Oryzias latipes: one gene and its partner. The protein of the gene in region 2 purifies or fractionates together with the protein of the main gene of each other region. This does not show direct contact. Links are inferred from orthologs where the notes say so. Each region holds a gene or a part of one and is shown on either strand. Other genes may lie near its edges. The genes, in order: xrcc1 and tdp1.

What was found.
Region 1: the proteins of tdp1 (region 2) and xrcc1 purify together in Homo sapiens (affinity purification with mass spectrometry; 4 studies listed by BioGRID and IntAct, with this or other methods). This does not show direct contact. The link is inferred for Oryzias latipes from reciprocal best matches to the Homo sapiens genes TDP1 and XRCC1.

Annotation. Positions count from the first base shown.
Region 1 is NC_019874.2:25,075,666-25,079,974, reverse strand, and holds the start of xrcc1 (DNA repair protein XRCC1), read right to left. Parts: upstream 3,106-4,309; 5' UTR 2,960-3,105; intron 2,746-2,959; 5' UTR 2,659-2,745; coding exon 2,608-2,658; intron 2,514-2,607; coding exon 2,421-2,513; intron 2,222-2,420; coding exon 2,114-2,221; intron 2,028-2,113; coding exon 1,869-2,027; intron 1,214-1,868; coding exon 1,139-1,213; intron 388-1,138; coding exon 264-387; intron 1-263. UniProt on the Homo sapiens protein: Scaffold protein involved in DNA single-strand break repair by mediating the assembly of DNA break repair protein complexes. Negatively regulates ADP-ribosyltransferase activity of PARP1 during base-excision repair in order to prevent excessive PARP1 activity.
Region 2 is NC_019861.2:31,357,671-31,361,952, reverse strand, and holds the start of tdp1 (tyrosyl-DNA phosphodiesterase 1), read right to left. Parts: upstream 3,028-4,282; 5' UTR 3,014-3,027; coding exon 2,935-3,013; intron 2,360-2,934; coding exon 1,766-2,359; intron 1,662-1,765; coding exon 1,618-1,661; intron 1,478-1,617; coding exon 1,422-1,477; intron 1,263-1,421; coding exon 1,166-1,262; intron 198-1,165; coding exon 163-197; intron 1-162. Other genes in the region: synaptotagmin-5-like, read left to right, coding at 3,816-3,837. UniProt on the Homo sapiens protein: DNA repair enzyme that can remove a variety of covalent adducts from DNA through hydrolysis of a 3'-phosphodiester bond, giving rise to DNA with a free 3' phosphate.

The DNA of each region.
Region 1 (4,309 bases), on a different chromosome or scaffold from region 2:
AATGCACGTATCCGATTCATTTCTACATATAAATGAGGTCTGAATCCGATCTGAAAAAACGGAATCCATGCGGTTTTTTCCTGCTTACAAGTTCACCGGTCATGTCCGATCTGTGCCACATGAGAGGAAAAAAAATCGGAATTGGGTCACCTCAACCATGCAGTGTAAATGCGGCCCACATTAATTAAGTTACAGAGCTTCTTGTTGGCTGATTTTTTCAAGTAGATCTGAAAAGGATTCTGCCATTTAGTTCATTTCAATACCTTTAGGTGAAGTGCTCGACTTGTTTGCATTTTCTCGGTTAAAGAAGAGACTTCCGGGTTGCAGACTGGACCCAGATGAAGGCGACTCATCCTTTATTCTGAACTGTCCCAGCTTTGTCACTTTCTGAGCGGGAAACACAACGAAGGAAACAGAAGAAATAGGATGGTGGGACTCACAATTTGTGACAAAAAGTTCCAAAGTTGTTTGACAACACTCCCATGTTGGTTTTTCTGGATTCCCTCCAGATTTGTAATTAAAAAACCAAACACATTGCATCTACCACCTTGTGCAGTGGTTCCTCACTATATTGCAGTTCACCTGATGTTTTAATGCAGTTTGTATCCTTTTTTATTTGTTTTTTTAACAGCACATTGTCTTCTGCATCCTAATTGGCTGTATTCCCAAATCAACCTCTTCCATACTGTCTATCCTACACAGAAAGCATTCAGTTTGCCACATTTACATACATCCTCTATCACTAGCATATCTATGTTTTTATTCTCTAACAATGGATTAATGCTTTAATCAATGTTTGAATTTTAAGAGTTTAAACAAGAGAGAAAAGTGTGTTAAGTGTGCAGTTAAGGGGTTACATCTAAAATAGTTTTAAAAAAAAAGACTAACAAATGACACTAATCCAATAACATCACATTGCGTTTATTGAAATCAGAATAGTTTCAGTTTTTGCAAGATTTACATACATTTATAAAACTTAGATGTGATGAAGTGCATGAGTGCTGAGGTGCACCCACTAACACTTGAGATCTTACCATTTTCTTTATGAGAGCGTGTGTTAATAAGGCTAATTTAGTGTTTCCTAACTTTTAAATGGAAAATAAAATAGAAAAAAAAAAGTTAACAGTGGTTTACTTACAGGGGAGGAACTTGGAGGCTCATTTTTGTCAGGTGGAGAGTGGAACTTAACAAAGGCGATTCCATACGCTATGTTCTGTAAGGCACAAAAAAAAAGCTTTCATTTCGGTTAACGGTTAGTCATGAAGCTTCAACACCAAACATGAAGACTTTACTGTTTCCACAAACTGTATTTTGTTTGACAGCCCGGTAAGTTGCGTATATTTTCTTTAAGTTATAGATGTTTATCCCAACACTTTTGCTATTTTTGTTCTTAGTTACGTACACAAGAACTTTGAGTCAATTTAGAAGGAAATATCAACATTAGCTTTTTCTTCCCACTGCTTGTCAAGCAAATAATTAACCTCTTTGAGACAAACCTCACATTTAATGGATTTAATGTGTCATGTACTGTAAGACTGGCAGGTTCATTTCAGTTGGCTGAAGGTGAACCACAGCATGAACCATGTGTGCTGTGTGCACTAAACATATGATAACTTTACTCCCCCAAAGCACTTCAATAAATCCAATTGATCAAAATGACACTTTTATTAACGACAAGGAACAAAACAGATGATATGGAAATGTACCTCGAGCCGCAATTAATCATCCAAAGTTTGCTAAATCTATGTATAGATAGATATTGGTTTTTCTTTTTTTTTCGTGTATTTTTGGTTTAGATTGTTTGAAATAAGCCAAATCCGATTCTAAAAATGGAGATATTTGTTTATATAAATGGTCAAAATCCTCACCTTGTTGTATGGCTGGCTGCAAACAATTTTGACTCTGTCCCATTTCTCCTGAGCTGTGCTCTTCTGCAGCTGGTTGGGTCCAAAGAAACGCACGCGGTTCAGGTTAGATCCGTTACGACTTTCCGTTGGAGACATGAAGGAAGATGTGACGAGAAGAACCTGAAAGAGTTTTTGAAATTAGGGCACATCCTGTTAAGTAACAAAGAGTAAAGATGGGGGGGGGGGGGTATTTTTTGAAGAAATACCTCGTAGTCCTGAGTTTTAGGGGCTGAAGAGTTTGCCACCAGCACCTCAACAAAAGCGGATCCTTCATTTCCAATATCGATACTGTGCACCTGCTCCTCTTTCTCAAACTGAGAAAAGGAATAAGAGAAGGAATAAAATAAGTCAATTTTTTAAAAACATCCAACTTATGCCTGTATTTCAATCATTTTATCTATGGAATGAAGTGGAAAATCATTCAAATCAGCCAGTTTTGTTTTTTGTTTTAACAAACTAAGCTCACATCCGTAACTGAAATGCATTAACTTGAGTGTGAAAGCTAAATCAAACCTGCAGAATGACTGATGTCTGCTTCTCCCCGGCTCTCGCTGCTTTCCACTTTCTGTAGGTGTCTGAGCTCAGCAGGTTGTCCGCTTTGTGAGTCTGTTATATCACAACGAAGAGTGGGTTTAATAAAGCCATGAAGCCACAACTAACTGCTACACTAAAAAAAAAAAAAACACAGCAAACAACTTACATTGTCCTCGGAAGTGCAGGATACGACGTGTTTGAGTTTGATTTCTGGCATTTTGGTATTCCTGCTACTAGTGTTTTTAATCCAATAATCTATCTGTCACTAAGTGTGCCAACCGGGCGCTGTTGTGACTGTTTTAACCTGGCGAGAAAACACAAACGTTCAGCTTTTCGGAGTGACACTAAATAATGCATAGAAAAGTGTTAATTACTGATGTTTGACAGGAGCAACAAACTAACTAGCGAGAAAAAGCTAGCAGACTGAGAAAACTGAACTTTTTCGTGAACAGCCTGATCGTTTTAACAAACTGAAAGGCAAACGTGAATTAATATGTAGCTTCATGATTGACACGTACCCGTTAACTTGACGTTATATTAAACATCACAAAGACCACGGTAGGAATGGTTATTTTAAGGTAAACGTGTCTTATTGTTGCTCATTTTCCCACCAAAAGAGAGCAAATGTCTTCATCCAACGCAACTTCCGGGGGTAGATTACCATCCAATAGGCGCCTTTGTTTTCTTCTTTTACGATAAACTAATGGAACAATAGCGTTGTGTCGCCACCAAGTGGACGGAGGGAGCATAGGTTAAATGACAAATAGCTGAACTTTTACTAATAGTAATTTCAGTAATAATTTTAATAATGATGGGTCATATGAATAATAATATTGATAATGAAATAATAAAACAATAATAATATCAACAATGATGATGATAATAGTAATAATAATAATAATTTCAATATCTTTGGCATCCTTGTGGCAAGACCATTCTTCCACTTTCTCATATTTACACATATAAAGATATTACTATTTTACAGTAGTAAAAAAATATATTTTTATATTAAGAAGCAAAGTTATTTTTAAGTTAGAATATTCTAGCTCTGTTCACATAATCTTTCTACACAAGTAATGAGAAGGTTTGTTACCCAAACATGCATTATAAAGCTTCTTTTTTATTATTTTTTTCCCAAACTGCTTTTTTCCAAACTGTCTTCAGGTAATTTAGATTACCTGACTAAATGAGTTCTGATTTATGCATAATTTTAATCATGTTAACTCCAATTTGTAATTTAATTCATAATGCCTGTCATTGACTTTATTTATATATCTGACACCCCAGCAAAACAAAACCAACAGCAATATTAATCAATAAATATGTTGTTTTTAAGTAGCAAATACATCTATGTGCAGTTTCAATTTATGTTGATTTGTCGTTATGATAAGACAATAGTCTTTTATCGGTTATTTACTTCTTTTTTGGTTCGTGTTTTTTCTTTACATCAAGTTTTTCTTAATGTATGAAAAATCCTATCAGAGAAAAATAAAATCTGCCTTCTTTCCAACTTTCACACTTTTTACAATAATTTTCCATAATAGAAAGTCTTAAAACTTAGAGAATATTATAAAATAAAAACTAAACAACTGCTGCCCTGCGTCAGACTGGTGACGTCCAGGGTATAGTCCGCCTACCTCGCCCATGAGTGACTGGTGACCCCGAAAGGGACAAAAACGAGTTTAGAAGATAAATGAATGAAAAATGAATAAATAACCACTTATGTCTACAACCAAACTACATGAAAATCTGCAATTTAAAAAAACACACAAGTATTTATGTGTAAATAGAGAAGTAAATGAATGACAAAGACATAATTAATACACATTGTAAAGGTTCAGTGCCAGCCAGAAATATTTATCATATTT
Region 2 (4,282 bases):
CCTTCAGCCCTGGTTTAAAAAAACACTCAAGAAGTCATGCAGATAGAAAATGTTGCATGTTAAAGCCTATTTTATTTGGATTATTAAAGCACATTTTAAAGAAAACTCCATAAGAAACACACTAACACAGTATGTAAGTCAATAAAACAGAGGTTTACTTACGTGTGGTGAGTTCCAAAAGCGATGTCCAGTTTGGCCTGTCGACAAAGAATTTAATGGAACAAACATTATCTGCTGCAGTCATTTAGGAAATACAGATTCCATTTGATTAGCTCTTAAAACCACATTTTAATCAGTCAACGTAGGTATAACCGGATCAAAACATGCAAACTTATAAAAAGAATATAAATATTTATATAATTTTAAGGGTTTTTATAGCTGCAGCTGAAAACATTATACATTTAAATTTTAAGAGCGTCAAATGTGAATTCCACTTCCTGTTTAGAAACAGCAACTCAAATCATAATAATTGAATCTTAAACAGAAGAGGAATAAAATCAGCGGTTCTGCTGTAGGAACAGTTTTCCTCAAACTATTACTGAATTGAACAAGTACTGAAACTGGTCTGTTGGGGAATGAAACTAACCATTTGGGCTGTGTCCAAACTGGAGGTCTGCATTCGTCCTGCATTTGTCGGCGTCGTCACGGCGGCGCGACAAGTGCTATCCAAATTCAACGACTCCTTCAAATGCGGCCAACAAATACGGCCTTCTTTTTTAACGATTTCTAGGATCGGTCTGGTGTATCCTTTTATGCTGTGCATATCCCAAGAGGTATTGCGGCTGAACCTGGAGATTTTCTGACAACAATGGCGGACTTTGAAGAGGGAGCCGGAGTTGGAAACCTTTTCATAATTACACCTCCAAGATTAAAAGTTGAATCAAATAAGCCAGGAAAAATTTTGACCTCCACGCCTGGTTCACTACTCCTCCCTGTTTGTGACTAACGGTTGCTAGGCGACAGGACACTTGCTGATGTAACGGCTGGAATTATCCAGAGGCTAGACTCGTCCAAATTTACAGCCGTTAACATCCGGCCCACCCGCTCGACGAAGGACCCGGCCAACATCGCCCGGGAAGGCCGCGGCCATTGGAGGATGCAGCCCTCGAAGTTGGAGACAGCCCTTGGGTTAAAGAACAGCTTTGTGCGTCAATGCTTCCCGTACCTGACAGAAGCGAACATGAGGAAAGGCTTGAGCCTGCTGGAGAAGCCGTGCTTTCGCCTCCCTCTTATCTCCATGTACGATCAGAACCGGACGATCTCTGAAAACACAAACTGAGCTTTAAACCAAACAACAGTTACCCGTGTGTTTTATTGGATTACTTACACTCAAGTAAAACCTGCTTTTGTTTGACATGAAGCTGAAGTGCTGTGAAACAGCAGAGCAACTGGAGTCATGAAAATGTGGATGTGAGACTTACCGAAACTCCGGTGGGTATTGCTGAACCATCCATGGAATGTCAAAGCAGTAGTTAAACTATAAAAAAACAAAGAAAGGATCACTTGAAACAGAAGATACTTCAGTTTCTTAGTGTCTTTCCCTAAAGGCCAGTTGATCGAAAACAATTCAGTCAGTGGAAGTGAGCGGAAATTTGTGATATAAATCTAGTGACATACCTGAACCGACTCTTTCAGGGTTCCAAATAAGGGGGAGAGAATGTCTGCACACAAAAAAATTCCCGTAAAATTCCCATAAATAGCTCGTCAGTAATGGAATGTGTATTACTAATGATGAGGAGTTAATCCTAGACAAATGCAAACTCACCCCTGATGTGCAGCGCCCCCGTGTTGTACTTTTTGTCCAAGCCTGTGACTTTGTTGAGGTAGAACCTGTAAGTGTCATTAAGACAGGGAATGTTGGATTCAAAGAAGTCCTCCGGCTCGTCGATATAGTAGAGTCGTCCATGGGGGCTCGGTGGACGCTCTTCTTTCACTTTTGGTTTCTTTGTTTTGGGGCTGGGAGGTGCTTTCTTTGGCAAATGACTCTGACTGTTGTCCTTCACATCTTTGTCATCGTCATCACTGTCCGACAGGGCCCAGCCTGTGCCCTCTGAGGCATCGCTCTTCCTCTTTCCCGCCAGCGAGGGGCTTCGCTCACACTTCACCGGATTTAACTGGTTCTTTGCAGCCGACCGTCTTGCTTCAGAACCCAGTGTGAGTGGAGCTGCTGCAGAAAGTGGTTCTACTTTTACCTCCACAGGAGCTGACACCTGGACTGGAGAGGGGGACCTGACACCGGATTCCGCTGGCAGACGGGACTGGGTTGTTGTAGTTCCAGAGAGAGGAAGATCTTCCTCCTCATCATCATCATCACTACTGGAGATGGTCCACTTGCCATGTTGACTGTCCTGAGACATCTCTAAGAAAAGAGAGCAGAAAGAGGAAGAAGGGAAGCTATTGGCAAATGATTTAGTTTTTTTAGGCTTCATATTACAACAAAAAGTACAGAAAATATGCATCCGTTTTACTTAAGACCACATAGATAGATATTGATTAATAATCAATATCTATCAATATCTAATATTGATTAATTGCAATAAACAGACTGGATGTGTTTACACACATTTTGTTTATCTGAATACTGGTCACTTCAGTGTTTATCAGATTTCTTCCAAAGTGTATTTAGAAACATAGGACTATAACATCTCATAGTTAAAACAAACTTATGCTTTCAAACACAGTTACAGATCTTTTAATCCACATTCTCACGCGCATGAGAACAAAAGAAAACCCAATACATCATGCAGGAAGAAATCGGATTTATTAAGGACAAATCTTATGTGAGTGGTGAATCACGATTTTATATTATTCTGCTAACATTGTCACTTTTTTAGTTAGATAACTCCAGAAACTAGATGATGATCAGATTTTTGATGCATGCAAACGGGCTAAAACGTTAACCGACTGTCTGATAAATGTACAAACATCCCAAACCTGCACAAGAGATCAACTGAATATCATGAAAACAAAGCGAAGATAATAAAAATAACGCTACAAAATTAAGCGCAATCATTGTTAGCGTTAAATAGATTAATAAAAAAAAACGAATAATGTTGTATGTTGAACTAAAGAAGCGTTTTGAAATGCGTGTCGTGTTTGCTTTACCCAATTCAGTTAAAGAGCAGCGGGACTATTTAATGCAGCGAATAGATATCACAACTTTTCTGCAGCACATCCACTACAAACAACAGCGTGACTGAGTTGCACCCACAAACCCCTTCGTCTAGAAACACTCGCGAATTACGAAGTTCCGCCCCCCGTAGTTTCTGATCGTAAAAATAAATAAATTATGAAAAATAAAATAAACACTAATAAGTAGTTAAATAAATGAGTGCCCTACAAGAAATATTTACTTTTTATTCAGATATCCACATGAAAAATTCCCCAAGAGTGAACTTTTGAATTTGAAAGCAACACTGAGAGACTGTCTGATTAAAGAATTTTATGATTATCAGTAATATGTTTATTTTAGTTTTTTTTTTTTACTCTCAGGGACGTAATTTGATCTTTGAATTGTCATTTTTAAACTATTTCCTTTAAAACAGGACGTGATTTATGAGTAAAATTACTGTACTAATAGTCTATTTGGGCATTTAAATAAATGCAATTGATACGATTGAAAAAGTGAGGCACTGTTTGTTTTCATTGAGTCAATAATGCAGAGAGCGCCTGTAGCCGAAGGGGCTGGGCTTGAGACTTGCCTCCAACGCATGCTCAGAATCTTCCCATTTAAGACCGTGACATGCCTCTGCTGTCTAGTCTTCAGGGCTCTGATGGACCCTGTTCACTGATCAGAACTGCTCCAAACTGGGAAGATGTCACAGGACTCTCCGGAAGGTAGGGGGACATTTCAATATGGTTATTTAGTTTCATATCATTGTAATCTGCAGTTCTGTTTTTTTTTTTAAATATGGTAATATATTGTAAAGGAAACAAACCTAACAAAAGCAAAAGTTTACATGCAAAATGAATGGGAGGAACAGAGAAGCTGAGGTAAATTTACAACCATTTATCTGTCAAAAGCCCAGCTCTCCATGTTTAAGTGACTGGCTGTGAAAAGGTTTGTACATCCATCTGAAACCAGTCAATGCATTACTCCTCTACTAAAGCTGGTCAGGTGTAAACACAACCTCAGCTCCATGCAGCTGCTGTTCTCCATCATCAGTGATACAGCTGTTCTTCTCTTGATGGAGGCTGAGTGCTGCTGCAGCTGAACCCCGATGCTCTGAAATGGCTCTGGAAGTACACACTTGCTTCAATATGAGCTCACTCTTATTGATTC